Astyanax mexicanus: one gene and its partners. The protein of the gene in region 2 interacts with the protein of the main gene of each other region in a pairwise test. Links are inferred from orthologs where the notes say so. Each region holds a gene or a part of one and is shown on either strand. Other genes may lie near its edges. The genes, in order: zgc:103755, trim32 and ptcd2.

The links.
Region 1: the proteins of trim32 (region 2) and zgc:103755 interact in binary tests that used the Homo sapiens proteins (3 or more experiments, as listed by UniProt). The two-hybrid records come from large-scale screens. The link is inferred for Astyanax mexicanus from reciprocal best matches to the Homo sapiens genes TRIM32 and CLIP4.
Region 3: the proteins of trim32 (region 2) and ptcd2 interact in binary tests that used the Homo sapiens proteins (3 or more experiments, as listed by UniProt). The two-hybrid records come from large-scale screens. The link is inferred for Astyanax mexicanus from reciprocal best matches to the Homo sapiens genes TRIM32 and PTCD2.

The regions. Positions count from the first base shown.
Region 1 is NC_064421.1:10,917,857-10,928,594, forward strand, and holds the start of zgc:103755 (CAP-Gly domain-containing linker protein 4), read left to right. Parts: upstream 1-6,342; 5' UTR 6,343-6,442; coding exon 6,443-6,521; intron 6,522-10,738.
Region 2 is NC_064408.1:6,798,925-6,809,337, forward strand, and holds the start of trim32 (E3 ubiquitin-protein ligase TRIM32), read right to left. Parts: upstream 4,232-10,413; 5' UTR 4,130-4,231; intron 1,959-4,129; 5' UTR 1,948-1,958; coding exon 1-1,947. UniProt on the Homo sapiens protein: E3 ubiquitin ligase that plays a role in various biological processes including neural stem cell differentiation, innate immunity, inflammatory resonse and autophagy.
Region 3 is NC_064408.1:22,614,290-22,625,346, reverse strand, and holds the start of ptcd2 (pentatricopeptide repeat-containing protein 2, mitochondrial), read right to left. Parts: upstream 4,406-11,057; 5' UTR 4,230-4,405; coding exon 4,142-4,229; exon of another isoform or gene 4,025-4,141; intron 2,267-4,024; coding exon 2,174-2,266; intron 2,012-2,173; coding exon 1,882-2,011; intron 1,636-1,881; coding exon 1,527-1,635; intron 1,122-1,526; coding exon 1,043-1,121; intron 1-1,042. UniProt on the Homo sapiens protein: Involved in mitochondrial RNA maturation and mitochondrial respiratory chain function.

The DNA of each region.
Region 1 (10,738 bases), on a different chromosome or scaffold from region 2:
GCAGGTGAGCTGGAGTCTGTATAACTACTGTAATGAATTATTACTACACTATAATAACTGTTCTGAGACCTGCTCACCCTGCAGCTGCAGCAGCACACAGCCCTGTCACTGACCCGCACTGTTAAACACCTGACCTGCAGCTACATCACCTACAGCAGGTTACCTGAGCTGTGCTGCTCTCCTGCAGGCCCTGCACTCAGCATAATTCTGCAATAAAGCCAGGCTACTGTGTATATACTGTGTATATATCGAAAAAATAAAATAAAAATAGAGCACTCCAGTTTCTGAATCAGTTTCTCTGATTTTGCTATTTATAGGTATATGTTTGAGTAAAATTAACATTTTTGTTTTATTCTATAAACTACAGACAACATTTCTCCCAAATTCCACATAAAAATATTGTCATTTAGAGCATTTATTTGCAAAAAATGAGAAATGGCTGAAATAACAAAAAAAGATGCAGAGCTTTCAGACCTCAAATAATGCAAAGAAAACAAGTTCACCCTGGTTTTTAATCACAGTTTTCATTAATCTCTGCATGTTTTCCTACACCAGTCTTACACACTGCTTTTGAATAACTTTATTCCACTCCTGGTGCAAAAATTCAAGTAGTTCAGCTTGGTTTGATGGCTTGTTATCATCCGTCTTCATCTTGATTGTATTCCAGAGATTTTCAATTTGGTAAAATTAAAGAAACTCATAATTTTTAAGTGGTCTCTTATTTTTTTTCCAGAGTTGTGTGTGTATATATATATATATATATATATATATATATATATATATATATATATATATATATATATATATATATATATATAAAATACTCTTTTACACTGTAAATGTAATATTGAAGACTATATTAAAGCTATACAGCAACACATGTAGAACGGTTCTATAAACAAACAAAAACACTGTTAAATAAACCAGAATATGTTTTATACTTTGAATTCTTTTAAGTACCTCATAGCTACACTGTCTCCTAAAAAAAAAGTTGCCTCCTCGATTTAAGAAGAATCAGTAGCCTAAATGACCATGCGTCTTATCATTTTGTCCATATAGTGTGCATCGTTAGAGTATGTTTGATATTATGTATATGATGTCAGTGTTCATTATGTGGTTTTGTGAGCTGTAAATGCATTCTCAACAGGAAGCCGTAGCTGAGCTGCTGAAATCTTTTTCTGTGCTGTGGTTGTTTACTGTAGATGTGCTGGATGAGAGCGTGTGCAATTAAACGTTACACTTTGCAGATTCACTTTAATTAAACACATATGATTAATAATTGAAAAGTAACCAAAAATATGGATAAATTAATGTTAATAATAATAATATAAAATAATTAAAAAAGTGCTGCTTACAACATTTTATGTGAAATTAAGTCATTTTTTTAGGCTGAAGCATAAAAGCAAGTCTAATTTAGGTTATGCAGGCTACTGTGACACCAAGTACGACTAAACTCCAAACCTATGACCATTGACACAATTGTATGTCTAAATAAATGCTACACAACAATCAATGTATCGGTAAATGTATCTAATAAAAAAAAAATAATAATAATGGGCTTTAATTTTGATGTGAAAACCCTGTTTTTAACCATTTCTTTGTTATGAGTTAAACTAATACTATAAGATAGACTCATGCTAATATTATCCACTAGCAAATAACTTAATATAATATAATATAATATAATATGATATAATATAATGATTTGTTTGCCAATAGTTTATATCATATCTGTCATATCTTAAATTATGCATATCTGGAATATTTGTATACATAAATACATATATATATTGTACCATTTTTGATAGATAGGGCTGTGTTTTGGCTAGAACCGAACAATGCAATACTTAAAATACACAATACATATGTATATGATTCAGTATATCATAGGAAATTGTGATACTGGAAGCAAAGCAATATATTGTGATTGTTTAAAGTTTGTATTACGATACATATGCTAACAGCAATATACATTACGTTAAACAAAACAAGTGTGTGAATATAAAGAGAGTTTTCATAATGTCTTATATTATAGGTTTATAAAAACTTTAAACATACTAATATAAGGCTTTATGAAACCTGTCTTTAGGAAGAGACATATTCATACACTTAAGATGAAAACTAAACTTTTGCACCCTTATTAAAATAATTACTTACTTATTTACTTTTGATGTCTTAATCACCTTTACTTGATGTATAGGCGCTTCTCTTATTTAATGCAATTTTATGAAACAAAATATGTTCTTCTATTGCATCACTTAAAAAAACAAAACAAAAAAAAACACCTGAAATATCTTTATTAATAAAAAAGTGTATGTTCTCGCTTTTTTCTCATATACAGAACCTTCATATAAAAATAAATAACCTTCAAATAAATAAATAAAAATCTGTGGGAAAAAAGCTATATAGAATAAAGTTACTGATGGGTTTTAACTTCACCCTGTAAAGACAGAAAGACGGTGAGAATAGTAACAGGATGTTAACAGGATGTGCAGCAGGGTTATATGTGGGTTGTTAGGTTGTGGTTTAGAGGATAGAGAGATAGATATCTGCAGCACTAGCTCCCTCTTCTGACCAATAGGAACAGCCTTCCTTCTGTTGCACCACAGTAGAAAACCACACCAGCAACACCATAGTAAATACACACCACCCACCTGTTTAATGTGTTTAAAGCTGATTCACTGATTTCTAACACTGAGGCCAAAAATCTGACTTCCTTATTGATGTGTCTGAGAATGTATTAGAAGTTACAATGGATTATTAGTTATAAATATAGTAACAGTCAAAAGTTTGGACACCTTCTCACTAAATGTTTTTATTCTCTCCCCTACATTGTAAATGAATACTGAAGTCATCTAGATTATAAAGGAACACATATGAAGGTCCTGATGAGAGCCAGTTTCATCATAACTTTGTAGACTTTTGATGGTCCTTGGGACTGCACTTGAGTTTTTAAAATGTGTTGGATTACCTGACCTTCATTTTCTACAGTAATTTTTTTCTTGACTTTAATGGCTTCAATAATAACATATAGTAGTTTGATATTACGCTTGTGTCTTACTTGTGTAATAGAGCTTTTGAGAAATATCTCTTTTGACTTAAACATTGAGTATTTTAGGTCCGTTTATAGTGTTTATGGAACTATTTAAAATATTTAGCTATTTTTAAAAAGGAAGACGTGTTAAAGTTGCTCACGTTCTTTAGCTGTTTTTTGTTAATTCAGTCTGATTTCTTCATATATTGTTTTATTTTGTGGGACACAGTAAACCTAATACTGATCAAAGCCTTATTTTGATATTTGATGTTTGATATTATATGTACTCCTAACAGTAGAGTAAATCTTAAACCTGTATTAAATAAAAAATAAAAATACAGTGATATACCGTAACACGTCAGAATACCGACATTTGTGGTCAAACCACCCAGCACTACTACAAACTATGTAACATATTTTGAAATTGACATGATCCTCCCCATTCATACCAATGACTGTATTTAACAAGGACTGGGCAACTCAAATATGAAGCCACCACAGGTGTAGTGCCTCTGCTGGCTAGTTGTAGTATGACCTGTAGCTTCATATGACCAGACCCATATGTTTTAATGACAAAAGAGTGCATTTTTTCATCTCTGATCTCTGTTGTGTAGACTCTGGGTGCAAATTTGACAACATGGTAAACATTTTTGGATTCATTTCTATAGAATGTAAGGGAATGGAACTGTATCCAGGCTAGGCCTGTCACAATAGCTTTTTTTTGTGGACGATATATTATCTCAGAAATTATTGCGATAAACAGTATTGTAATTTTAAGACCATTTAAATGTCACTGACGTTTATACAAATGTTTTAAATACAGCACAATTTTAAATAACCATAGTCTGGGAAATGTAAACTCTTTTCTTTCTTTACCTACTGCAGTACACACTGTGTGTATGCAGTTGCTGTTATTATTATTATTTTTTTTACAGCATGACTGGCTAAAATACTGTTCTCTGTTTTAGGGCTGGCCCGAATAGCGTTTTTTGAGCTCCGGATATTCGGCACTGATTCGAAGCAAATATTTGAATATTCGTTTTTAAAAAAAGAGGTAAAAAAAAAAAAAAAAAAGCAAATCACGGCCCCTTTAATCCACTGAAAAATGTTCAATTTGCTCTGACCGACGAGACATATTCACCCCGGATTTTTGGTGTTTTTATCCCGGATTTTTGTGTTTTCACCCCATATTTTTTCTGTGTTTTTAGCCCAGATTTCTTTGTGTTTTCATCCCGGAATTTCTGCTGCCCCACACCGAGCCTGCTGCTGCACGGTTTCTCCGCTGCGCAAGCCAGCCCAGTAAATTGCTGTTTGTGTTTTCACACTTAGGCTATTTGCTTAAAAAAACAAACAAAAAAAACGTTTGTTCAGGAAGTATTTTATATTCTTAAACATTGTTGATTATATTAGAGGACAGTCATTGTAAACTGTACTTGGTCTATTTCGGTTAAAGGATTGTGCAGGGCATATTACTGATTTTGTATTTTTGCACTTGGGCTATAAGCTCAATATTAAATATTTCGTTTGTTTAGAAATTATTTTATATTTTTAAACCATGTTAAATTATATTAGAGTAGAGGAAAGTCATTGTTAATGACGTTATTGTACTTGGTCTATTTCGGTTTAAGCATTGTGCAGGGCATAGCCGTATTACTGATTTTGTATTTTTGCACTTGGGCTATAAGCTCAAAATTAAATATTTCGTTTGCTTAGAAATTATTTTATATTTTTAAACCATTTTAAATTATATTAGATAAGAGGAAATTCGTTCAGACATCATTTTTGTAGGCCAGGCTTTTGTAACCGATTTAGCCCCTACTGTTGCCACATTACCCCTTACGTTTTATTATATAAATCAGTTTCGAAGAGCCTGCATTTTTTTTTTATCATGTATAATAGAGGTCTGCGCGAGACTGATTTTTAAACCCACTCTTCCACGCTCCCGCGTTTCTGTCTCGTTACCGCGCCGCAAAAAAATTGCTTCTTTTAATCCCGCGCCCGCCCGCCACATACACATTTCTGCCGCTCCCGCCCCACGTTCCTAATGTAAATTAAATAAACTACATTTAATGCTTCAAATTTACTTATATATTTATTAAAACAGCAGCGCTGAATAGTGTGGTCCCGTTCCTTACCCCAGTCCAAACACCATCGGTGTGTGCGTGTGTGTGTCGGTCCATCCTGCGCGTTGAGAGTTTTCTTTAGGTTTTTTTTTTTTTACAATTATTACATATTATTGTTTTCTTAACTATTTATTAATTTGCTCCCGCATCGTCTGGATTAAACTCCCGCTCCAGCCAATAACAGTTCAGTTCTGTCCCGTGCGCAAGATATTCTGACGGGACCCGCGAGAACAGAAGTGGTTAGAGTGAGGTGGAACTCTGGAAAGGAGAAAAAAACCGAATATCCGAATACCAAAATTAAAAACCGAATACCTACTCAACGAACGAATATCCGAATACCCGAATATTCGGGTCCAGCCCTACTCTGTTTATATATGTGAACAAACGTTCAAATAAATACAAATAGGCAATATCACGATTATTGTATATTATTGATGTAGTGTCCATTTATTGTTCGATAAGTCGATAATGTGATTATTGTGACAGGCCTAATCCAGGTTTTTATTGTCCTTAATTCATTCAAAATTTAGATTAATGGCCGCTGAGTGAACACACTGGTGTGAGGCAATGTCTTTTAGCAGATCTCATGTTTAAGCTCCAATTTTCCTGTAACCAGGACTATTTTTGTGGATGTTCACGTGTGTTTCTCATGGTGCCGGTCCGGCTGTTCAAACTCACATTGACAATTATGTCATTAAAACTTTAAACCAGCTCAAAACGAAAAAGCTTTCTTCTGTCGTGTCACTGTGTCGCTACAAATCCCTGCAAAGACAGCCAATCAATAGGAACACTCTGGTTCAGATCATTGCCTAAAACTGACTGCTGTCAAAAGGGATATTGTGTGTTAGTTTGCACAACGCGCAGACAGTGCCAAATTAGAAGCAAATCCAGGGCAATGCCACTGAATAGGCTTAGAGTTGCACACCCCCGAGGAATTTCTCTGACTAATGAGAGAGTGAGAGTTGTTAGTTGGGCCTGAGTCTTCAGCTCAGTTTACTTAATTTCTCATTTTTCATAGGACTCGTAGGGTTGCCCTTGTATCTCGTCTTCATCTGATCCTCCTGCGTCTGATGCCGTGTTTCGTTTTGTGTTTGTTTACCTTGGATCACACGTTTCTCGGTAAGTAAAAGTGCCAGGGTAAGGGGAATGGCATCCCAGTGAGCCAGAAATAGCTCCTGAGCCACCACTGATCACAGGGCTTATTAGAAGAGGCCAGGAAGATCACAGTGTACCTTCCCCCTGTGCTCTAGTCTAGCTTGAACTTTACTTTGTGGGATCTTCTGCCATGTCGGTTGGTTCTTCCTCCGTGACGGAGCACCAGCTCAGTGAGTTTCAGAGTGCTGTAGGTGCTGTTGATGGCGTTGGTGAGTTCCAGGTGTGTTGAGAGCTGGTTGTGCTGCGTTTTCTCCTTCTTTGCTGTGACATATTAAGGCTTTTTAACTTGTGGTATTGATCTGTGACACATGAGCATAATTTAGGTGTTTATGAATGTGAATATGCCTATAAATTGTAATTACGGCTGGAACATTGTTGAATTAAATAAGCATTTGGATTAAAATAATTTTGGATTGGGTTACTAACTGTGGTACATGTACCACTGGCAACATGCGAGGGATCCTAAGATGGTATTCCTAATTAGAGTTTAGATTTCAGATAAAGTTTCGCACATTTTTCTCCCCAAATTAGCTAGGTCGATTGTCCCATTTATTTAGCTGCTACTCAGCTGTATATCCCCAGTCATTAGTGATGCTCTGACACAATAGTGAGGCCCCGAAATGCTGATGCAGCATTATCAAGTAGCCAGCGGCTCAGAAGAAAAGCACAGTGACTTGGTTCCGATACATCAGCTCACAGACGTCTTGTGCTGATTGACATCACCCTTGGGGTGCTGAGCCCATTGGGCCCCTTTGGCTAAAACCCTAGGGGTGATAAAGAGAATGAGCGCCATCTACCCACCCAGAGAGAGCAAGGTCAATTGTGCTTTCCTAGGGCTCTGACAGCTGATGGCAAGCTGCATGACCGGGATTCGATCCAGCGATCTCCAGATCATAGTGGCAGAGCTTAGAAAACTCGAGCTGGGAAACTCGCCGCCCTAGGTCTACAATTTGTAATGCTATTTTTTATTTTATTTTTTATTTTTTTGGGGTGAAATCGAACAGACTATTTTCTAAACATTGAGTGCATTCCTATTTTTATGTGTAATTCTGATCCTAGCAGTTCCATTGGTTGTAACACAGAGTCTGGGGAGATCGCGGATAGTTTGAAAAAACAAAAATGAAGATTAAAAAAAAAAAAAAAATGCTCATCTGAGTTTGTGCTCGTCTTTTATACTGTGGGGAAAAAAGAGACAGCGTTTCTTACTAATGTACTCAGAATGCAGAGATATGCAGAGAAGTGAAATATGTAATTTTGTGACTTTATTTAATTTGTGCAGTTTTGTTATTTAATTTTATTGTAGTAAATTTTATACTTGTAATTGTCATGTTCCTCCTCAGTTTCTAAAATAAATTGCTCTTAAATTCACTTAGCATGAACTAGCTGACTTCTGTCTGAAATGTTTTTTTTTTTTTTTTAAGAATAACAGTTTTGTTTACTTAACTTAGCTTAGCTCTACTGGTCTTGCCCCCCCCAGCAGCGAGACCTGCTGAATTAGAAGGAAAACATTGCAACACCATAAAATATGCCTTATAATGTGGTGCACCTTATGTATGAAAATAGATGTTTATTCCCTTACCCTTATAGTGCGAAAAATACGGTAACCTAGATAGATAGATAGATAGATAGATAGATAGATAGATAGATAGATAGATAGATAGATAGATAGATAGATAGATAGATAGATAGATAGATAGATAGATAGATAGATAGATAGATAGATAGATAGATAGATAGATAGATACTTTATTAAAATTAAAATTAATTTGTCCAACAGCACACAAATAATAAAAATAATAGTAATACTAATAAAGAAGTAACACAAAAAGCATACACAACAGAGTCCATACCCAGGTACAAAAAAGTGCTAAATGGTGCTTAATAAGTACACACATCAGGTGTTAAGCAGTAACCTAGGGTCTGAGAGGATGCCACTGTGTTGTCACACATCACTCTTATATTCCTCTGTTTAATGATTTCTGAGATTTGCTTAGTTTTACTTATTTTAATGCTACATTGTTCAGAAAAAGTGGGATCTTTTCTGGTATGTCAGTTAAAAAGTTTCAGAATCACTCTTCAAGTGGCAAGGTGTTTTTGAAATGGTCTGAGTTGGAAGATAAAGGATATATTTATATAACATTATATTTCTTTCCTTTATGTGATGTGAAATGGGTTTGAAGCCAGGCCTAGCTTTTCTCTTTTCTCTTTTTAAAAGATGGCTTTAAATCCCCAGAGCTTTTATTACCGCATGCATCCAAATGTTAATGCGTATTTATATACATCATGCCTGATTTATGCGTATCCATTTCAGATGGTTTCAGAGGGCCATGCAACAAAACAGAACTGTCTTTATGTGGTTGCAGACGACATTTAGCAACCTACTATGAAGTATATTATATTAGTGCTTCCAGAACCTATTATCTTACAACTGGAATGTTATCTCAAATATGACTTTGTACTGGGGGATGCATTATAATGAGTTTTAAAAGATAGAGAGATTTGTTTGGTTTGAAGTATGTTGAATAGATTGATGGATTGATGTCTGCTTGTTTTATATTGGCTTGTACTTAAATATACAATACCACACTGACTTTCTATACTGGTCAGATGACGTGAATTATCCTGCAGGTCAGTGCAACATGCTTTAGCTTCCATAGGACATGGCAAAAGTCATGGGATACAGTACTAGTTCCAGTGCCAAGATGTGTGTACGAGTTTTTTGTCGCTTTTGTTGTAGTAACTAGAACTTGATTGCAACTATTGACAAGAGTATTAGTGGTTGGATCTAATCTCTATTTAATTGATCTGTTTATATTTACCTATTATTAGGGATGCACAGACATATTCAGCTCTGAATGGAAGTAAAAGTGCTGAATAATTTAAACTAAACAAACAAAAATGATTTATTTAAAAAAGGGCAAAATGAATGAAAACCTGCAAATGTGTTCGTTATTCAACTTTTATTTTTTTTTATTTAATTTAGAAGCATTCTGTCCCAGTATCATTTTACTCCAGGGTGTAAATCTGACAAAATGTCCTGTATGGTTAATATCACTATGTACAGTACTGTGCAAAAGTTTTAGGCACCAAAGCAAATTACACTGATCCATCTCAGCAATACGAGGGTTTTTACCTGAAAAAAAAATTACCACATATGATTTAAACAGATACAAATAAACATACAAACAGTAAAATGTAACAAGGAATTCTCATTTTTAACTAAGTATGTTCTATCCTGTGAGCCAAGCTGAAAAACAACGTGTAGTTCCCGATTTCTCCTGGATGATTTCCTTCAGCCAGCATGTGTATATTATGTTCAGTTCCGTCGGCAGCTCACCTGATTTACCACATTTACCAGTAATTTACCAAACCAGAACTAGAAATAAATAACTCTATTAAACTCAGATGAGGAGGAGAGATTAGGAAATGTTTTAAGGAAAACAGGGCTGTAAAAGCACTGCTTTTTATAAAATTGCTGTTTGTATTTATTGTAATGCTGGTGTTTTACTGAGCTAATAAACACTTACTTCACAGATAAGAAGCTTTTTCTGTACTGAAATCCCCACAGGTGCCTAAAATTTTGCACAATACTGTATATTGCAACAAAAAAAAGTATAGCAATGTCACTTTTATCAAAATCAGGCAGGTCCTAGTTCCTCTGTTCTACTTCTCAATGCTCACTGTCTGGGATTAGGCATGGTGCCAAAAGATTCATGTTTATCTGCTCCAGGAAGTCCTGCTGAGTGTGCATTTCAAATCTCTGTCAAGTAAATATCTGTGGATTTTCTAGCAAGAACGTTCTTTTACACTTGTAAAACTGATACTGATATTTCAAAATGTGTTATTCAACTAGTAGATGCTGTTATTTTAAGAGACATGTATTTTATTTTTGATGCAGAACACCATCTTTACCAGAATAAATTATATTAATACCTGTAGAATACTGTATTTTTTCTCAATCAAACCAGATTGAAAGGCGCACTATCAATGAACGTCTATTTTCTGGTCTAGTTGCGTACATAAGGTGGATTATACACTGGATTATAAGGCGCGTTATGCGACACTAGTAAGGAACAGGGGTGTCGCCATGTTTTCCTTCTAAATCAACTGTAATTCTTAAAAATATATATATTTTTAACGAGCACTGAATTTTAACCTACACAGATTTCTCTCCTGAAAACTGTTTAGTTGGGTGAGTAAAGTGCTTCTGTTTTTTTTTTTTTTACAGTAAGCTTAGATTTCCAGATTTCCAGTAAAGCTAACCGAGGTTAGCGGCTAATGCTGCCCAACAGCGCTACAATGGGGAACCCTGAATGTTCCAGTAAGCCATTGCAATATTAGCTAATGATTCTTCCCACGTTGCTTATTTTATGATGCTAAACGCACAGGCTACAGGCCGATAATACTCACCTCTAAATGGTGAAAG
Region 2 (10,413 bases):
AACACCCACAGGGCACGTTAGACCTTCCTGAATCAGAACATTGTGGCCACCTTCTTTGGGAAACTGCAGAATTTCCTTGCGCCCGCTATCCGTCACCAGCAAGTCTCCATTGGCGTCCACGCACATGCCCGTGATGCAGCGGAAGTCCTCCGTCTCGGAGAAGAAGTGGCTGAGCTGTTTCCCCAGCTGACCATCCGTGCCCACCGAGCCGATGGAGAAGCCGCCTTCCAGATGGTGCTCGTTGTGCCTGTTCTCAATGTTCAGGCCCAAGCCTTGGGTGAAGTAAACCGTTCCCGAGGAGTCACAAGTCACAAACTTGGGCCTTACAGCTGAGCACAGTCTGTTGTAGTTCACTACTCCTACGTTACGATCCACGGCCAAGCACCACAGCTTCCCTCCTTCCACATCCGACACCACAAACTGTCCAGAAGGCATGGCAGCTATGCCCCATGGCTTGATGAGCTGGTTCTTATGGCAGGCGATGCAGTGGCCGTCCGTGGTGTAAACCTTGACAGAGTTGTCATAGTTGTCCGTGACTCCGATAAGACCCTGAGGGGTGATGGCGATGGACAGAGGGATGAGGTTGGGCAGGTCGGCACCTAGGAAGCTCAGGACAAAGTTGTCTATGCTGCTAGGGTTGCGGCGGATCTCCCGCTGGAAGCCCTTGCGGTTGAATATCTGGATGCGGTAGTTGCCTCGATCCGCCACAAGCACGTCTCCCTGTGGAGTCACGCAAATGCTCACTGGCAGGTTGAACATGCCCGGGAGGTTCCCTTTGCATCCCATCTTCTTGACGAACTGACAAAGCTGACCTCCGGAGGCGCCACCTGTTGCCCCAGGCGAGGGTCCCCCTCCATCCACGGACTTGGACTTGAAGCTACCAGGTGAGGCACACACGGCTTCTTCTACAGCAGTTATCATGTCTACATCTCGATACAAGGGCAAAGGAGCAGCAGCGGCTGCGGCAGCAACAGTGGCAGCAGCAACAGCAGTGGCATCAGCGGCGGCAGCTATCTCCAAACCATCCTCTTCATCTGTGTTCACCGTACAAGGTTTAATAGTCAGCTGACCAACGTCTAGGGACTGCGGGTTCTCTGTTTTGACCAATTCAGGATCCTGCAGCTTCAAGAGGACGGGAAGGCTGCTTTTCAAATCAAGCTCTTCCTCGTCATCATCTCCGCCACCTTCTTCAAGCAAAGCAGTGTCCGTCTGCTTGATCCTCATGGTGAGGTAGTCGCATCGGGACACCACTTGCACCTCTGCAATGTTCAGAAGGTATGTCTGCTCTTCCAGAATCTGAGCGTTGAGTTTCTCCACCTCAGCCATGGAGGCGGCGAAGGCACGGCGCGAGCGGCCCAGCTCCTCCTGAAGCCGGAGCTCCGCCCTGGAATACTCCTGCTGCACGGCCTTGTACTTGAGACGTAGAGACTTGGACACATTATCTATGGCTGCCTTCTTCTTCTGAATGTTGGCCATGGCCTCTCGCAGGTTGGTCAGCTTCACCCCAAGGTCCTTCCTGCGCTGCTCAGCGGCCGTGCGGATGGTCTGCACGCTGTGACCCTGATGCTGATGTCCTTCGCACTTGCAAGCGTCGCACAGCACCACGCCGCACTCGCAGCAATACTGCCGCGGCAGGCGATTCTTGCAGGACTTGCACATGAGGCCGGCTGCAGAGCTGCAGGTGCTGGCGCAGTCTATGATCTTTAGCACCGTGAGGTTGTCAGCAAGCTGGGAGATGCTACTCATGCGGGAAACCTTGCTGCAAAACGGGCAGCGCACCCCGTTTATGGTGCTGGCCAGGAGCTTCTCGAGGCACTGCCGGCACACCGAGTGTCCACACTGCAGGAGCTTGGGTCGGAGCTGGTCCTGATTGTACGTCTCCAGGCAGATGGGGCACTCCAGCACCTCCCGCACCAGGTCTGGGTCCAGGCATGTCGGAGTGGCCATGATGCATCTCACTAACGGAGGTGTTCACAGAGAGGAGAGACAAGAAGAAGAGAACCAAGTGAGTCATTTAGAGTACAGTGCAGTACAGCAGAGAATTATGTAATATGATGATGTGATGAGTGAGCAAGTATAGCAGGCGTTACGCTAATTACGGTTAGCTCATGCGGGCGAAGCAAGGCAGGGCATTGTATTCCTTGGTCCAACCACTTAGCCCTAACCCTTTGTTTTGCGCTTGCACACCTAGGGGTAGGGTGTCTCGATTTTTGGTAGGTTATAAGGGTAGGTTAGGTTAGGGGAAGTTTTAAGGCTACATGATCCTTTAAGTTGAACATTTTCCTATATATCTTTACGGTCTCACCTTATCCCCTTCAGACCTTGCGCCCAATGCATTACAATTACAACATTAAACAAGCAAATCAAAAATTTACATTAACTTAGCCCCGCCCACTGCAGCAGAAAAAAAAACCCCAGCAACTCAAGATATAAGTGCATGTCAGCACAACAGCCAACAAAGCAAAGTAAGAGTTAAATTTTACTATTTTTTACGTGATTTAGAAACACTTTTATGATGTTCATGTTACTGTGTATGGATGATTTGTGTACAAAGTACAAAGGTCAATATCAAATCTAACATTAAAAATGTAAAACACATTTTAAGGCATCCAATGCAATGGACATTAAAAAAGAGCAATCAAATATATTTTAGTTAATGGGACAATTAGGGTCGTCTTTTGTGTGATTGAACAAAAGACGACAGAAAACAGCATTCTTATAGTTTTCACTGGAACTTAATTCAGGTCTGAAAGAGTTAAAGGTTGCAACACAGGCAGAGGCTGCAGTATTTAAGGTGGAATGGAACGGAAAAATAAAATAAAAGCGAATAAAAGCTAAATTTAGCTCCCAATCAGAGAGGAATTAAGGAATAGATAATAATAATTAATTCTAAGACATACACTAAAGCCCTAAATGCTAATTCTAATTCTTAGGGGGAGGATTTTATCCCTTTTAGTTGGAACTCTGCTTCAAGGAAAAGGGTTACAAAAGAAAAATGGGATTGAACCGTAGGGCGTTTTCACAACAGCACTCTTTGGTCGGGTTAAAACAGACTCTGATTGTTTTTTACTCGAACGAACGGATCCCAAACTCTGGAGCGATTTGTTTGTGGTGAGAACGTGATCAGGCCTTGATTTGACCCAGTTGTCAAATATACTCTTTTATTTTTTTATATAAAATGCTGATAATAGTATACTGCTATGAACGAATGCTATTCGCAATTCTGTTTACTATGTGAACATCTGCACGGCACGTCACATTTAAAACAATGCGTTTTAAAACGTAGCGTTTCAACATTAAGTGCACAGAATATTTTCACTATATTTACTTTGAAGGTGGTTATCTCCAATCACACCCAGGGAAACCAAAGTGAAACCAAACCAAACAGAGGGAGAAACCCTTCAAATAAAACTGATTCTGATCATAGAAACCATAAAAACTACAGGTGCGAAAACACCCTTAGTCTTGTTTTGCAGTATTTATTAATTTATGAGACCCAACATGCACGTGAGACAGGTGTTCCCCTGAGCTATTGGCAGGCACTGTAGTATTGCTAGTATTGTTATTCTTCCTTTAGACATAGAAAACACAGCATTTTTTATTTTTTGTCAAATTTAAAGCTTTTTAAGACTGTGAAAAGATCAGGAATACTTGTTTTGACGTCTCCAAATCTATACCTAGTGTATTCCCTATTGACTTTGTTGATTTTGCATGCAATAACATCACCACATTAGCTTCCTTAGCCAGCTAGCCAGCTCTATATTAACTAGCTAGCTAACTAGCTCTATCTTTATCTTTTGCTTTATATAATATAATCACGAGCCAACATTTGCAATATTCCGCAGCATGCATTGCAGATATTGCACATACTGCAGCAATATCAGCACCAAACAAACAAACAGGATGCATTAGACGTCCAGCATTGCACAGATGTTGCTGTGCACCTGGCAGCCATGCTAAAGGCTCGAGCTAAGGCCCAGTGCAGAGGCAGAGGGCTGCACCCTGTGTCTATGTGTGCGCGCGTGGCAGCGGTGTATATGCAGTGCAGTGCAGTGCAGTGGTGTATATGGTATATGCTGGTATATGCTGTGAGTGGGTGAGCGCGCTGTCCGCGTGCGGTACCGCTTACCTCAATGTCAGCCTGACTGCGGGTCTCTCCACCGCCGCTCGCTGCGTGCGTGCCTGCGCGAGCGACACTGCGGAGCGCTGACGTCGTCAGTGGCGGCCGTCCCCCACTGCGATCTGATTGGTGGAGAGACAGACAGCCTTCCTCAGCTCTGATTGGCTGAGAGAAATGTCTGTCACTTATGTCAACAAAAAATAAGACATATTTGTATAAATATGATGTCAAATTTAATTTAAACATTTTTATTATTGATCTTAAACATTACTACTACTACTACTACTACTACTAATAATAATAATAATAATAATAATAATACTAATAATACTAATAATACTAATAATAATTATTATTATGATTTATTTTTTTCATTTTTATTATTATTATTATTATTATTATTATTATTATTATTATTATTATTAATACTACTACTACTACTACTACTACTAATAATAATAATAATGTATATCTTAATGTTTTGTTATTTAACAATAAAATATTTTATTGATTTATTGTAAAAAAAAAAAAGATATGTATAAAGGTTTTTATTTAAACATTTTTATTATTGATCCTATACTGTACCACTACTAGTCACAAAATAATCTTAAACTCCTAGTATAATCACCTTCAGACAGCCTGTCGCTGTTATAGTTTGTTTATTTTTTATTTTATTTTTAGTTTTAGTTTGTTTTTAGTTAACTTTTTGAATTTTGTGTCGTTTAACCTCTTGTCTTTATTGTTTCTTTGATTTATTTTACTTATTTTACACACATATATATATATATATATATATATATATATATATATATATATATATATATATATATATATATATATATATATATATATATATTATTATTATTATTATTGTTATTATTTTATTATTATTATTCATCTGTAACTGCAGTCTTATAATTTTTTATCACCTGTAATTTTACCTATGATTTTATTATTCTTACTAAATTCTTAATTTTATTATTATTTGTAGAATAGTGGTGTTTATTATCTTATAGTAATGCCATTTACTGTAGAGTAATTGTACTTTACACTACATTATTTTTTTAAATCTTAAATATTTATCTATTATTTATATTAATCTTATTTAAATCCAAAATTTAAGTTTGATGAGAACAAAGCCCAGTTTCCCCATATCCTCCTCTGATCAGTTCTCCTGCTGGTGTTCTGTTTTTAATGCAGTTCCAGCTCAGACCACCAGATGGAAGCAAAAGTCCACTCATGGTGTATCAGAATAGAGCAGATAGTGAACTGGAGAAGTGAACACAGGTGCACAGCAGTGTAGGTATATGCACAAACATTTAATATGATTTAATTTAGACGCCATAAACAGGATGTAGTGGGCGGAGCTTGTGTTGTGTACAGTACACTGAAAAAAATGAGTAAAATTGACTTTAAAAAAGTTTTGCAACTTTCTGCATTTGCTTTTTTTTAAGTAAATTTAATTTCAGATAAATTTAAGTAACTTCAACTCGGTTTCAAGACTTAAATGTTACACAGAGTAAATAAGTGAACTGAACTTCAGTCAATCCTTTCTGTTAGTAAACTTTACTTCATTTATTTTTACTGAATCAATCCTTTCTTTTAGTAAACTTTACTTCATTTATTTTTACTGAATCAATCCTTTCTTTTAGTAAACTTTACTCCATTTATTTTTACTGAATCAATCCTTTCTTTTAGTAAACTTTACTCCATTTATTTTTACTGAATCAATCCTTTCTTTTAGTAAACTTTACTTCATTTATTTATACTGAATCAATCCTTTCTTTTAGTAAACTTTACTCCATTTATTTTTACTGAATCAATCCTTTCTTTTAGTAAACTTTACTCCATTTATTTTTACTGAATCAATCCTTTCTTTTAGTAAACTTTACTTCATTTATTTTTACTGAATCAATCCTTTCTTTTAGTAAACTTTACTTCATTTATTTTTACTGAATCAATCCTTTCTTTTAGTAAACTTTACTTCATTTATTTTTACTGAATCAATCCTTTCTTTAAGTAAACTTTACTTCATTTATTTTTACTGAATCAATCCTTTCTTTTAGTAAACTTTACTTCATTTATTTTTACTGAATCAATCCTTTCTTTTAGTAAACTTTACTTCATTTATTTTTACTGAATCAATCCTTTCTATTAGTAAACTTTACTTCATTTATTTTTACTGAATCAATCCTTTCTTTTAGTTGCAGAAAGTTGCAAAACTTAAAGTAAAGTAAATTTTATGCTTAATTGTTTCAGAGTAAAGTTAAAAGTAAGTGCTATTAGTGAATATAAAGTAACTATTGTAGTAGAGAAGTGGGCGGAGCTTCTGGACACGGTGGAAGTAGGGGTTTCCACAACCGTTTTGTACATTGAGGGGACGTTTGCAGTTGTTTTCTCACATTTTCATTCCTCGTTTCCATGGATGATTTAATAAAATTGGTTCTTCTATGGTCATCCATCACTGAAAGAACTCTTCGTAGCTCCTTTACTATAATTATTTCTAAAGGTTCAGAGATTGCCACGTCCTGATTTTAGCCTCCAGACCCACCGCAGACCCGGCCGAGCCGGAGCGAATAGGATGATGGATGGACGGATGGATGATTCTGGACTTTGCTCGGTTCACAAGTCAAACTCTGACCGGATCAGTCCTGAAACTCCCGTCTCAGGAGCTTCTGTTTATTATTATTCTGAACATTTTTCCCTAAATAAGAACCTTTCCCAAAGAACAGAATGCACGTGTGGTCAGCCTGACGTATGCGATTAGTAAATGCCGCAGGCCTCGATCAATCAAACGCCCTCACGGTGATGACAGCTCCATTGTGAGTCTGGGTGCATTCGGGGGGAATGTTCCTTAGGCTGACCGGCCCGAGTTCTGGAGCTGGAGCTGGGAGATTTGCCCCACACTGAAAAAAATAAATCTGAGCGTTAGTAAATGTAACGTAATTAAATCTGTGTTATTAACAACAAAGAAATATGTTTCTATATTTACATGAATATATCTAGTTTTTAATTACTCCACATTTGTTCAAAATACCAGATATTGTGTATTTTTTCTTTAATATAATTTATTTATGTAATCCCAACAAATCTTTTTAGGTACACAACAAATCTGCACAACAAACACAAGTCTTGTTATATTTACTCGGGTTTTAGTCACTACCTGTGTCAATGCTCTTTCTACAGTGTTGGTTCATGCAGCTTTCCTATAGGCTCCTGTAACCATATATTTGCATATTGGGTGTGGCCTCTCTCTCTTACTCACCATCTTTGTGTTGTCTGTTGCCCAAAGCTACCTTATCCTGGGCGTGCAGTAATTATAATGTGGCAAGAGGAGTAAATAAATAAATGTTTATTAAATAAATAGTGCACGACTACGCCACCTAGAGGGAATTTCCCTCTTAGGAAATACAAGAACACACAGGCCCAAGACACTTGGAGAACAGAGACGTAGTTTCCAAATTAAAACAAGTTTTATTAACAATTATCAAGAAAAGATTATACACACCCAGAATCACAAAAGAAATATATATATATATTACAACTGAGGGCTTACCAGGACAGCAGGACAAAAAAAAAAAAAAAAATCACCTACACACACACATACCACTGCACACGAGCACACACCCACAATTACGAAAAAAAAAAAAAGAAAATCCCAACCGAGGCAGAAAAGAACTAGCACACCAAACACAAAATATTAAGAAATTAAGGTAAGGCTTCCAACTGACCAAAGTAATCCTCCAAAGAGAATAACCCCATAAAATAAACCCACACTCAAAAAAAGTATACAAAACAAAATAGAAACCCAATTAGAGAAAAGAGCTCCAAAGAAAAGAAAACCCAAATTAACTCAAATTCCAACACAAAAAAGTTAGACACAGAAAAAAAAGATCAATTAGATTAATCAAAAATATAGAAGACAAAATACCAAATTAGACACAAAACAACCCCAAAAGGCAAAATTAAGAAACTAAAAGACAAAAACTGAATATCACAAAAAATGAAAATCAATACGAAAACACAAACTTAATTAGCCAAAATAAATCAAAACAAAAAAAACAACAAAAAAAAACTAAATCAAAGCAAAACAAATAAGCCAAAGCAAAAACGAATTAATTAATTTAAATAATTAATTAATTAATTAATCAAAATTAATCCAAACAGAAAACTACAATAATATACATTGGCAGGTCTCAGTGTTTATAGGCTGTAAGAGCACATTAACTTTATTCTGTGTTTCTACTGATCACAGTGTGCTGGATTTGAGCTACAGAGTTCACTCTTTACCCAGTTTACTCCTGTATTGCTCCATTATTATACTGTAATATAATATAATATATATAATATACTAAATATGTTGAGAATACCCATGGTTAACTTAATTGATAACTTATGTGAATATTACTAAAGCTTTATTAAATTGAAAGTGTGTGTTAAAATAAAGATGAATTGTTAGTTTATTTGACTAAACAGATCATTTTTAAAAAGGACAAATTAAACACTTAAGTTGAGTTAACTCAGCTTTTTAAGTCAGCAGAGTACAAGAGAAAATTAAGTTGACAATACTTTAATTTCCCATGTAGTGTCAATGGACTCTTTTAAGTTGACACTACCTGGAAAAGTATGTTAGCACTACTGGAGAAAATTAACTAGTATACAATGACTACTCTTGCTTGATCTACCTAATTATCTGATGCAAAAAGTTTATATGATTCTTTTAAGTAGATCAAGAACACTATTTTTTTTCAGTGCAGTGACCTACACTGTTATGTTTTTTCTTCTTGTGAGGAAACGTAGAGTTCTAGTACTTGTCTGTGTTTAAAGGTTTCATGCTATCGTTTTTTTTTTTCACTCATTTTAAATGTCTAGTTGTGTCTCTAGTATTAATAAATTCCAATGTGAGCTTATTTATGTGAAAGAAAAGTGCTCCGGTGATTCGGTATAACTCTGCTTTAGTCTAGTGGAGGAGTAGGCGGGAAAGAATGACAGGATTTCAGCTCTTGCACATGAATATTCATACATTTACATTTACATTTATGGTATTTAGCAGACGCCCTTATCCAGAGCGACTTACAACAGTGCTTCATACATGCAAACAGGACTCTTAACCCTTGTGTGGTGTTCGGGTCTGTGGGACCCGTTTTCATTTTTCATCAAAATATTTTTTCTAACTCAAACTCATTGGCATTGGCTCATTTTTTGTGAGAAACATATATCAAAACACATTTTCCATAAACACACACTGTACACCCCACCCCTCCAACCATTTATATTACATACAGTATGTTTGGCCAAGGGCTAATAAACATTGCTTCATTTGTAAATTTGAAACTAAACAAATTTTCTACTCATATCTTGAGTTTAATTCATTTCCTTTTACATTTTATTAAAAAACTAATAAAAAAAGAGTAGCACTTTTTGAAAGAAATGTAACATAAGAAAGGTAAAGGGCAAATATTAACCATGTAAGCTGTTTATATTGCTTGCGATTTAGGTGAAGCAAGCATGTGTAAAGCATTTTAATGTAGAATTGCTTAATTTTGCTGAATTAAATACAAGTAACAAAGTAAACGAGTAACAAAAATATGAACACCACACAAGGGTTAAGTTTTGAAGTTTGGTTGGCGTGAGATTTGGGGGGGGGGGTGGGTTTTTGGTAGTGTGCGCGATGTGTGTTTCAGAACTTTTGAATCGGACAGTTCTTCGTGCTTGACACTCTGGCTGAAACTCCACCCTCTTTGACTAGGTCTGCCTAACAACAGAGCGATCTATATTCTGATTGGCTCAACCAGAGCACATTATAATATACAGCCGATGGATTGGCAAACCTGAGAAATACCATGTGTGGCGTGTGAGCGTGTGAACTCGCTGAGGTGCGTGTCACACGCTCAAAGCGTGAGACTTGAGAACACTGTGCAAACGTATCGCCTCTGGCTAACAGCACTGTGCTCCCGAGAGAGGGTGATTTTTCTGATGGCGGTGCTGAATTCGTCACAACACCGCCATGTGTTTTTTTTTTAGGGCTGTCATATCGCTGACATAATCTGTTCCTTGACTTAGAGTCTCTGTAAAACGCAAAATCCACCGGAGATCCTATGTAAACCTATAGTTACTTTCACAAGATACCTAACTAGATAGTGTAAACAGAATTATTTCATTTATTTCATTAATAAAAAATAAAATACTGAGATAATCAAAAGCTCTATTTGAATTCCTTTGGATACTGTTATGATGTCTAGCTTCTGAGTATCTGTACTCAGGCGTGATAAACCACAGTTAAGTTGTGTTTT
Region 3 (11,057 bases), about 16 Mb from region 2:
AGAGCAGCCCTTTCTCCAGAGAATGTGGACATTCTCATCTTCTTAAAGAAAAACTTAAAAATATAAAAATAACAGTTGTTTTGACTAGCCTAAAATATGTTAATAGTTGTGGTACTTTAAGGAGCATCTTTCTCTCAGATTATTAATTAGTTATATAATTAGTAATATATCTTTGTTAAAGAAAAAAATTGTCATTTTCAGGGACTGAAAAAGTCTTAAAGTCTTATTTTTCATGTTTAACAGTTATAGTAGGATAGAGTTCAGTTCCTGTATTTTTTTATTATTTATTTTGTTATGTGCACACTGCTGCTACCAAAAAAAAGAGGTCATTACAAATATATCTTAATTAAATTATTTAAATTTGACCATTAATGCGTAATGTGGTGTATTACAGATCACTTGTATCACATTGCATCACTTATATCAAGCCCACCTTTTGGAATAAGATATTGAAAATTTGATTAATCAAACCATATGACATGACTGACCATAGACTAATCTAAAACTGGCATAGGCCTCTCTGCTGTAAAAAAAATAAAAAATAAAATCGAGAATCGAATCGTTAGCCTTAAATCGAAAATAAAATTTAGAGAATCGTGACACTCCTACTCTATATCATAAAAACCAACGCGAACGGTGCTCTCTTTGACCGGTGTTCTGTTAAGTTGTGCTACCTTGTCAAACTGTGCTTCCCTAGTGTATATTTAAGGTCTCTGTAAAGCGTGGAATCGACCAGAGATATGATTTAAACATATAGTTACACAAAATAGCTAATGTTAACTAACTGGTATAAACAGAGCTGTAAGCTCTTGAGAGCTGATGAGAGTGTCGGCTCTTTTGCAGCCCGGCTTCAGCTTAGCCTGTGGGCGGTCCCAAGCAAAGGCGGGCGTGGCCATGAACTCACGAGTTGATGTAGACACGGGTAGACACGGGTCATTTTCGGATCAGCAAGTAACTGCTAAACACCAAACATATAAATTCTGCTTTTTAATTCATATATTTGATAACATCTGAAAAATAGCAACGGTAAATCGAGACTTACTTTCATAGCTTCCTTTGGTAAAAAGCATATCCATCATGATGTTAAAAGATGTTTTCTCTGAAAAGAATCCTTTAAGTTTCTGAAGGGGTAAAAAAAAAAAAAAAGACAATTAGCATGTTTGCATGTGTCTCAAACTGATACTTCCTACTAATTTACAGCACTAAATGTTGGTTCTCAAGAGATTTATCAGAAAAAAGAGCAAATCACATTTAGTGATGCATGGCTTACAGATGACTGGCTAAGAGGTAGGAAGAGAACCAATTATTGCTAACTAGTATTAACATGTAACTGTTCCACTACAGCTTTTTCCTTATAAAAAACCTCCAGGACTTTCACAAAAATATTGCAATTACACCATAAACCACTTTCTCTGGAACCACAGAGCACAAATAAAGAAACCACAATAAACAAGCCATTCCCTATCTATTTTGACAGGTTACACAAGAACTGGTGTATCAGTGTTTGTGTTCGTATACATTCATACCTGATCAGTTATTGTCCCAAGAGCCACATCCTCCATGCGCAGCTCATAGCACAGCCGCATAAACAAAGGACCAAATCTGTAAGTTGAGTTGGGATTTACTTCATGGTACCTGCATAAGAAAATAGAGATCATATTTAATCAAGACGTGGATATGTATTCGATTTAGTCATTTTCTGTTGATGAATGAAGGTAATTGTATTCATCCAATTGTTTATAAAATGTCAGTGTCTACAGGCCCATAATCAGCTGGAATTTCATGGTGCTGTCTATTCTGTTTGTGGAGAAGAAGCCTGAAATCTTTTGGTCGCTTACATGCGTTTAATTTGTTATTGAGGAGGTGAGGAAAAATTCCTACCTATAAATAGCATTTCTAACTGTAACCATATCTTCAGGTGACTGGCAAAGATGCAGAACTTGCTTCAGGTCTTCCTGCAGTATCAACTCATTCCTTTCCATTTTCTGATTAAGTGCCTCAAAAAAATGACCTGTAAATTCAGCGAACAAAAGAAAAAGGTTTTCAACGTTTTTTTTTCTAAGGTTCCTTTAATGATAAAGAGATCACTAATACTTTCATTTATCTGGTTGCTAACAAATAAATAAAACACATTAGCAAGCTCAGAGAAACAGGTATTTATGTCATGACTTACTTTTTGTACCAGGCAAGTGCCGAGCTGTGTAGAGTTTCTTCAGCTGGAAATCCTGAAGCCTTACCAAATCCTCTGACAGAAGATGGCGCTTGGCTGAAATGAAGCAGATTTGGCCAGGTGTAAACAATAACGACATAACAGAGGTGATTAGAGCAACTTCAATCTATACTCAGCTACATGGACTACAAAATTTCGTTAAATAGTGATGTATAAGTAATAGTGTACACAACCCATATCATGGAAAACTTTACTCAACACACATTGTAAACAATTTTAGCAGTATGTAAACTGACCACAGACTTTTATGGCAGATTATGTCTTCTTAATCTTTAAATGTATTTCTGATGATAAAAACAGCAGTTCTTGATATTTTAATGCCTTATTTTTACTAGTATTAATTGTAATTGAAGATATCTTCACTATAAATTATATTTGTAATAACTTTAAGTCCAAATATCTGTAATTGAATTTTGATCAGTATAAATGCTGAATTGAGATATATCTAATCCCGTTTTCTCCCCAATTTACAAGGCCAATTACCCAACCAACTCATAAGGACTAGCACACGCCTCCTCAGCCACCACCTCTTTTTGAACTGCTGCTGATGTAGCCAGCACTTGGAGAAAAGCGCAGCGACTCGGTTCTGAAACATCAGCTCACAGATGCACCATCTACCCACCCAAGGAGAGCAAAGCCAATTCTGCCCTCTCAGGGCTCTGGCAGCTGATGGCAGCTGATGGGAAGCTGTAGACCCGGGATCTCCCACTTGGAGCACGTAATTTAGACTAATTTAGGCTAGCAAAAATGTTCTTTGTGGACATGTGCAGTTTTAGCTCTCTATTACAAAACTTCAGACGTCTAGAGTTTAAGTTTTGACTAATAGTTATTAGGGCTGCACTGTTTTGTACTCTGTCCACTCCATTAAAATGATGTTATAGTAACCATCAAATTAAATCAAATTTATTTGTATAGCGCTTTTTACAACTGATGTCACAAAGCAGCTTTACAGAAATGTGACAACAGGTCAGAGAATCAGGCAAAAGATTGAACATACAATACAGAACCCCCATTGAACTACACACAAATACATACACAAACATACAGACATACATAAATATATGACATAAGATTATCCTGAAAAAAAACATCCAGCCTGTGTGAATGTTTTTCTACTATATACTTTGTAAGTTTTAGATATATATATATATAGGTACATCAACCTATCAAAATGTGCTGCAAAAATGGTTTAGGGCCTTAATTGTTTAACTGGCAATGTGCAGTAAGACATACATTGGATTGACAGCCTCACCAGTAGGAAGTAGAAATGGAGAGCATGACAAAACAATGATTAATCAAATAATAGGAAAAGAAATCAGGATTACACTACAAATACGGAATTGCAATTTTAACTTGTTAAAATAATTCTAGTTATATATAAGAGAAGTATATAATAATATAAAGTAACTCTAGTTATGTTATGTAAATCAGTGGTAACACGTGACTAGTCAACATTACATTACGGATGTTGTGCTGGTATTATGTCTAAGCAGCATGGCTTTATTAACCTGAAGATCTGATATTATTACTAGTAAATGTCACAGATGATATCTGAAATTAAAGTTTCTACTAGTAAACTGCAGAAGAGTTATTATGCAATTACATTTTGTTTACTGTTTTAAACTGAGTTTATGACTCCGGTCACTACAACTATAAACAAGAGACACACAACTCTGTAAAATTAACACTCTGAATAAGTTCTGTGTAAATCTTGAGTAAGGTAATTATGCGGGTAAGTTAATGTAAAACTGTGTGGAGGAATCCAGTTGTTATCTAACTACAACTCTAACTGACCGTATGTATTTGATACAGGTGAAGATGATGCTGCACAGTGCCGCACATCACTGTTTTAAAACCAAAGAAAAAAAGCTGATAATTCCAGACTAACGCTGTAAAACAGCGGGTACACACCTCCAGCCCTGCATTTAAAACAGCCGGAGTCCAGCGAGAACTGAAGCGCAAACCGCGCACAGCGGCTCAGTCCTCTCTGCAGCGCCATGCTGTCCCCTGACTGTACCACCCGCAGCCCCGGCACAAGGTAACAGACCGGAACTCAGCAAATATTTACTACTTTCAGTACGAGACACAGTAACAGTGTTAAAGTAAAAAGTACAATAAAATACTAATTTAATTACAGTGGCTCAAAACCACTCACTACAGAGCTTCACCCAACTGTAGATCACCCACCGTAATTCACTAAAACACAACCCCCTGTTTCACACGACATGGTTCGCTCCAAGCTAAAAGTCTCAGTTCAATAAAAGTCTCGAACAATGACTCTAAAAATGTTATATTATATTTATATATCTATTTTTCTAAATTTAATAATATATTTGTGAATATAATACGTTATATAATAATAAAAAAAAAAATAATAATACATATTTAATATTATAAAAATAATACAATATACCAGAATATATAACATATATTATATGCATATTATTATGAAAAACATTTAAATATAATAAAAAATATACACATATAATTTTTATTTATATTTGATTTTTTATTTATATTTGATATTTATATTTTTTTATATATACAGTCAGTAGTCTCAACTATATATATGGTCTCGACCAATGACTGTATAAATGTTTTTTAAATATTTTTTATGTGTTTTTATATTAATAATATAATACTAATTTACATATTATATTAATGTAATAATATGTATGTTAATATAATACATTATATAATATTAAATACTACTACTAATAATAATGATAATACCTATCTAACATTGTAAAAATAATAAAATATAACAGAATATACACAATGTATTATATGTATATTATTATAAAAATAATATAAATATAATAAAGAATATAAACAGCATTTTCTTATTTATATTTTAGTTTTATGTATACAGTCGGTTGTCTCGACTATATCTATGATTTTGTTCAATGATAATGAAATAAATAAAAAATACTTTAATTTAACTTAATTTAATTAATCTATTTATGTATTTCGTTTTATGTAAATACATGTATTTATTTGTATATTCATATGCTACAATACCGTTTTAATAATGTTTAAAAAAAATAAAAATTCAGAATATAATATTATAATAGGCATATAATATAATTGAAAATATAATAGATATCTTAAGTAACAGAAATGTGTTGTTTAATCATTTTATTTTTCTTTATATAAACATATGGCATGGTCATGTTGGCAGCTTCTTGTAAACACAGTAAAATTATTTCTAGTCGTTAATGATTTTTTTTTTTTTTTGGCTAGTTTTGAAAGTAATGTTAGAAATGTGTTTTTAAAATATATGCAAATTCATCCAATAGAGGGCGCTACGGCACTAGCACAATATACCTAGGCAGAAACTAGAGGCCTTTTAGAGCCTATCCCAGTATATGGCCTAAGAGGCATTGCTCCATCTTTCCATCTTTCTAAATATAAACAAAATTAAAGTAATTTACATAATAATAATAATAAAAATAATAATAATAATACATATTTAATATTATAAAATAATACAATATACCAGAATATATAACATATATTATATGCATATTATTATGAAAAACATTTAAATATAATATAAATGTGTTTTTAATCATTTTATTTTTCTTTATATACACATATGGTATGGGCATATTGGCAGCTTCTTGTAAAATTATTTAAAATTATTTATAGTCGTTAATGATTTTTTTTTGTTGTTTGGCTAGTTTTGAAAGTAATGTTAGCAATGTGTTTTAAAATATATGTAAATGCATCCAATAGAGGGCGCTACGGCACTAGCACAAAATACCTAGGCAGAAACTAGAGGCCCTTTAGAGCCTATCCCAATATATGGCCTAAGAGGCATTGCTCCATCTTTCAATCTTTCTAAATATAAACAAAATTAAAGTAATTTACAAAATAAAAACATTTAAGATATATCAAATTTAACAATACATTATGTACTTTGTTCAGAAAATTGAAGCTGATCACGGTCATGAAACCATAGGCTGCTGTGTGTCCTAGGTAAAAACATTCTGGACTGATTTGAAAACCTATATAAAGCAAAGGGAGACAATAATATTTACAATTTTAGACAAGAAACTAATATAACTCAAATATGAAACATGTCTTGGTTGATTAACTACATGTGTAATCTATGTAATAAATCATGTTATTATTTTTTGCTGAACTTTCTCTTTAAAGTGTCTTATTCTCATGCCCAGCTTTTAAAAGTGTTGGATAAGGCACCCTCATTCCAGAGAACTCCATTCTGGTCCCTTTATACGGTACCTCTCTAGTCCACATCCTGGATTAGATATGGTGCCAAACATGTAAATAAGATATTGCCACTGAACTTTCCCTTTAAAAACTCTCTTTTACTCATATTCACACAGGCGTGCTTTAGTCTTTTACAGTGTTTTAGCTCACCTTTCAATGCCACTGCTATAGATTTGGCAGCACTATGTGTGTACACCCTGTGCTTTTGAATGGGAATGAATGATTGGAACTGGCAGTGGCCAGACAATCAATTGAAACCAACAGTCAAATAAAGAAAGGACACAAACTGTCAGCAGGCTTTCAGTCTCACCTACAGCTTATCAATCCAACCGCACAGAGAGGATGACCTTGGAATACAGCAATCTGCTCTTTAGTCTGCTCTGCGGTTATTGATTTTGACCTGCCCATATGTCCAAACGTCTGTAGATATCCTTACATCCTTTGCGTGAGAGTAAAATACACACTGTAAAATGTTCCTTGTAAATTAATGCCAACGTACAGTGGTACAAAAAAATTTGGGCACCCCTGATAATTTTCCTGGTTGCCCTTTATAAATTATTTATTGTTCGGATCAGCAATTTCAGTTAAATATATCATATAGCAGATGAACACAGTGATATTTGAGAAGTGAAGTGAAGTTTATAGATTTAAATAAAGTGTGCAATAATTCTTTAAACAAAATTAGACAGGTGCATAAATTTGGGCACCCTTGTCGTTTTATTGATTTGAATATATTTAGCTCTAATTATTGGAACTCAAAATTTGTTTGGTAAGCGTATTGACCCTTGACCTACATACACAGGTGAATCCAATTATGAAAATGGGTTAAGGTGCCAATTGCAAGTTTTTCTCCTCTTTGCATTTTCTGAAGTGCGGGAACATGGGAACCTCAAAACACAACTTTCAAATAACCTGAAAACAAATCCTGTTCAACATCATGGTTTATGGGAAAGAATACAAAAAGCTCATAATCTCAGAGATTTCAGCTGAAGATCATAGGCACAGTTCTAGTTAAGGCCCGAAGTGGCAGAACAAGAAAAATCTCAGATAAGCAGAGGAGAAGGATGGTGAGAACAGTCATAGTTAACCCACAGACATCCAGAGCTCCAAAGACCTACAACATCATCTTACTGCAGATGGAGTCATTATGCATCATTCAGCTATTCAGAGCACTTTACACAAGGAGAGGCTGTATGGGAGAGTAATGCAGAAGAAGCACACGCCACAAACAGAGTCGCTTGAGGTATGCTAAAGGACATTTGGGCAAGCCAGCTTCGTTTTTGGAATAAGGTTCTGTGGAATGATAAAACTAAAAATAAGTTATTTGGAGAGCAGTATGCATGGAGGAAAAAGAACACAGCATTCCAACACAAACACTTTACTGCTCCCCACATTAAAATTTGGGTGCAGTTCCTTCATGCTGTGGGGCTGTGTGATCAGTGCAGGTACTGGGAATCTTGTTAAAGTTGAGGGTCTCATGGATTCCAGTCAATATCAGCAGATTCTTGAAAACAATGTTCAAGAATCAGTGATAAAGTTGAAGTTAAAGTTGCGCCGGGGCTGAATACTTCAACAAGACCCTAAATCCTAAACACTGCTCAAAATATACTAAAACATTCATACAGAGAAACAAGTACAACATTCTGGAATGATCATCTCAGTCCCCAGACCTGAATATTATTGAAAGTCTGTGGTGTGATTTATAGCAGACTGTTCATGCTTAAAATCCATCAAACCTGACTGAACTGGAGATGTTTTGTGAAGAAGAATGATTCAAAATACCTTCAACCAGAAGCCAGACTCTGATTGGAAGTGTTTAAAGGCTGTTATTTCTGTAAAAGGAGGATCTGTATATTAAATATTGATGTAATTTTTCTGTTAGGGTGCCCAAAATAATGCACCTGCCTTATTTAGTTTAAAGAATTAATGCACACTTTCTGTTATTCCTATAAACTTTATTTTACTTCTTAAATATCACTGTGTTCGTCTGCTATATACTATATTTAACTGAAATTGCTGATCCGAACAACCAAAGATTTATAAAGGAAAATCATGAAAATTATCAGGGGTTCCCAAAATATTTTCAGACCACAGTGTAAGTGGTGGTGGTCAGAATCAGAAGGCAGCAAAATGCAAGAATTTTTAAATGTATATTTTAAATCTATAAACCTTAAAAGCTTTCAGAAGGTTCTTTTAGTTGTGTGTATTTTGAACTATGTAGAGCTTTTGCTGCAACTAAAAAAACTTAAAACCCCCTTTAGGGAATCTCTCCTATAATTTCTTTTAAAGAGCTTACAGTTTATTAATTATGATAACTAAGCAATAAACTGTGAAAAATACAAGGAAAGACACAGATATGAAGTGTTGATAGCTGCAGTGTTCAGGACTATACATCGAATGTGGAATGCCTGCTTATAGGAAAGCTAATTTTAGCTCCCTTACTTATTTATAAGTTCCTGTGAATTATTTACTAAACGCAGAACAAGTGTGAAGCAGCAGAGGAGATCAGAGGAGTCAGTAGTGGCTGGCATCATCAGTTTCCTCTGGAACAGCATACAAAAAATACAGTGTATATTAAGAATCTGGGTGTAGCGTATAACAAGAAAAAAAAATGGGCCTCATTTGCCAATATAGTTGTAAAGTTGGAAGAATTTATTTTTGTATCTATTTAGCAGTTACCACCCAGTCGTTTTCCCTCTTCACAAGTGATGCTCCAACACCAGGAAGGTGAAGACTAGCACATGCCAACTCCAGTACATGTGAAGCCAATCAAACCTCACCTCTTTTCCAATTTCCTGCTGATGCAGTATTACTGGGTAGACAATATGTTTGGAGGAAAGCGCAGTGACCCAGCTCTGATACATCAGCTAATAGACACCTGTGCTGACCAGTCATGCTCTCTCTGACTCTGGCCGCTGATTGCAAGCAGCATGATCCGGGATTCTAACCAATTCAAAGCAGATCGAACTAGTTCAGATGTGTTAATAAATAAGAACACATACACTGTAAAAACTGTCCTTTTATTATGAATTAAAGTATTCAGCTGGCAGCGGTTTCACCAATATTTTACAGAGCCCCTACTGTACAAATGTTTTCTAAAATAGCTGAAAAACTGGTGTTAATGTTGACTTACATTGTAAAAAACAATTTACAGAATAAATTTGAGGTGACAGTATGCATTCAACCAGTTTAATTCATATTATGAGTACATATATGTTAAATAAAATTTAACAGATGTGACAGCATGAAGTCACATTTTTCAGTAAAGAAGATAAACATGGCCTATAACAATGTGACCAGAGTGTCAATCATTACTGGTTAAATTTTGCACACTAGCAGAACAAATTTGGTCTTCTTGTTTTGTCTTATTTTAATTAGAGATTAGAGATGGGTTGCATTTAATAGACGTTTATAGGAATGTAAGTTAAAGCTAATGTTCGTAAGTTTTGGGATTTAGGGCCCTCACTGGTGAGAATGGGTAATTGCACTGAGCATGTGGAAGAATCATTTTAATCTGGGTGGGTGTGATGAGGTCTCCTTTCAAGGTGGATGAATCCGATTCCAGGTTATGTTCAGTCAGAAACTTCACTTCAGCTACACACTTTGTTTTTACTATGAGTAAATGAGCTACTGAGCTCAGGAACTGAGTTTCCCCTTCTGAAGTCTCCATTGCTCCACCAGCCGCTCGCGTTTAGTAAAACTGAGCCTATACTCTTTGTAGGCAGCAGGTCCTAGATGATTGAGTTTGGTTGACGCGTAGCAGTTACCACAGAGTCCACTTTTTGTGTTAAAAAATGTTTACTAAGAAAAAGTTTTCCAACAAGCACAAAATCCTAAAGACTTCCACAAATATCCACTTAAGAAGTAATATGCTACGGTCTAAAAACCGTGTGCTCCATTTTCCACCTAAGTTTATTCTGCTGCTCTAATTCGCCCCCTAGTGAGCAAAAAAAACATTCTAGAACATCCTGTTGTATTTCTTAAAGAGACAGGGTACAATTATACTACAAATAAAACCAACATAAAGGAAACATTATTTGTGTCTCTTAAAAATGGCAAAGAAATAAAGAAAGAAAGAACAATATAACAATATTTACAAAACAATATATACATTAAAGGCAGTCCTTCTTTTGGCTCCTATACTCTTTTAGAGGCTGTACGTAAAGACGTGTGACGTGGCCAGACGAACCCCTGCGAAAAGTGACCCGATACACCATTTTTTAGAATGAATATATTAGGTTTAGCAGGGGAGGATGCTCCAGTACACTGGTACCATTAAACACAACATCATTTCCCTTCTCCACTCAGAAATGCTTCTGCTTTCAGTTTAGAAACAAAGTAATGTAGACTGCCACTTTAAATCATTATTTAAATATAATTTAATAATCAAAAGCTGATCATACACAGGACTACCCAACAATCATAAACAGTTGTTTTTATGCTATTTGTTTTTGTAACAATAAATCAACCAAATGTTAAGATAACAAACAAGACAGCAAGATGTCACTGTTGCTTTTGATGTTAGTTTGTTGTCTTGTGGTTGATAATTGGTCAGAACAGCACATTAGGGGGCTTTTTCATGTATAAAGTG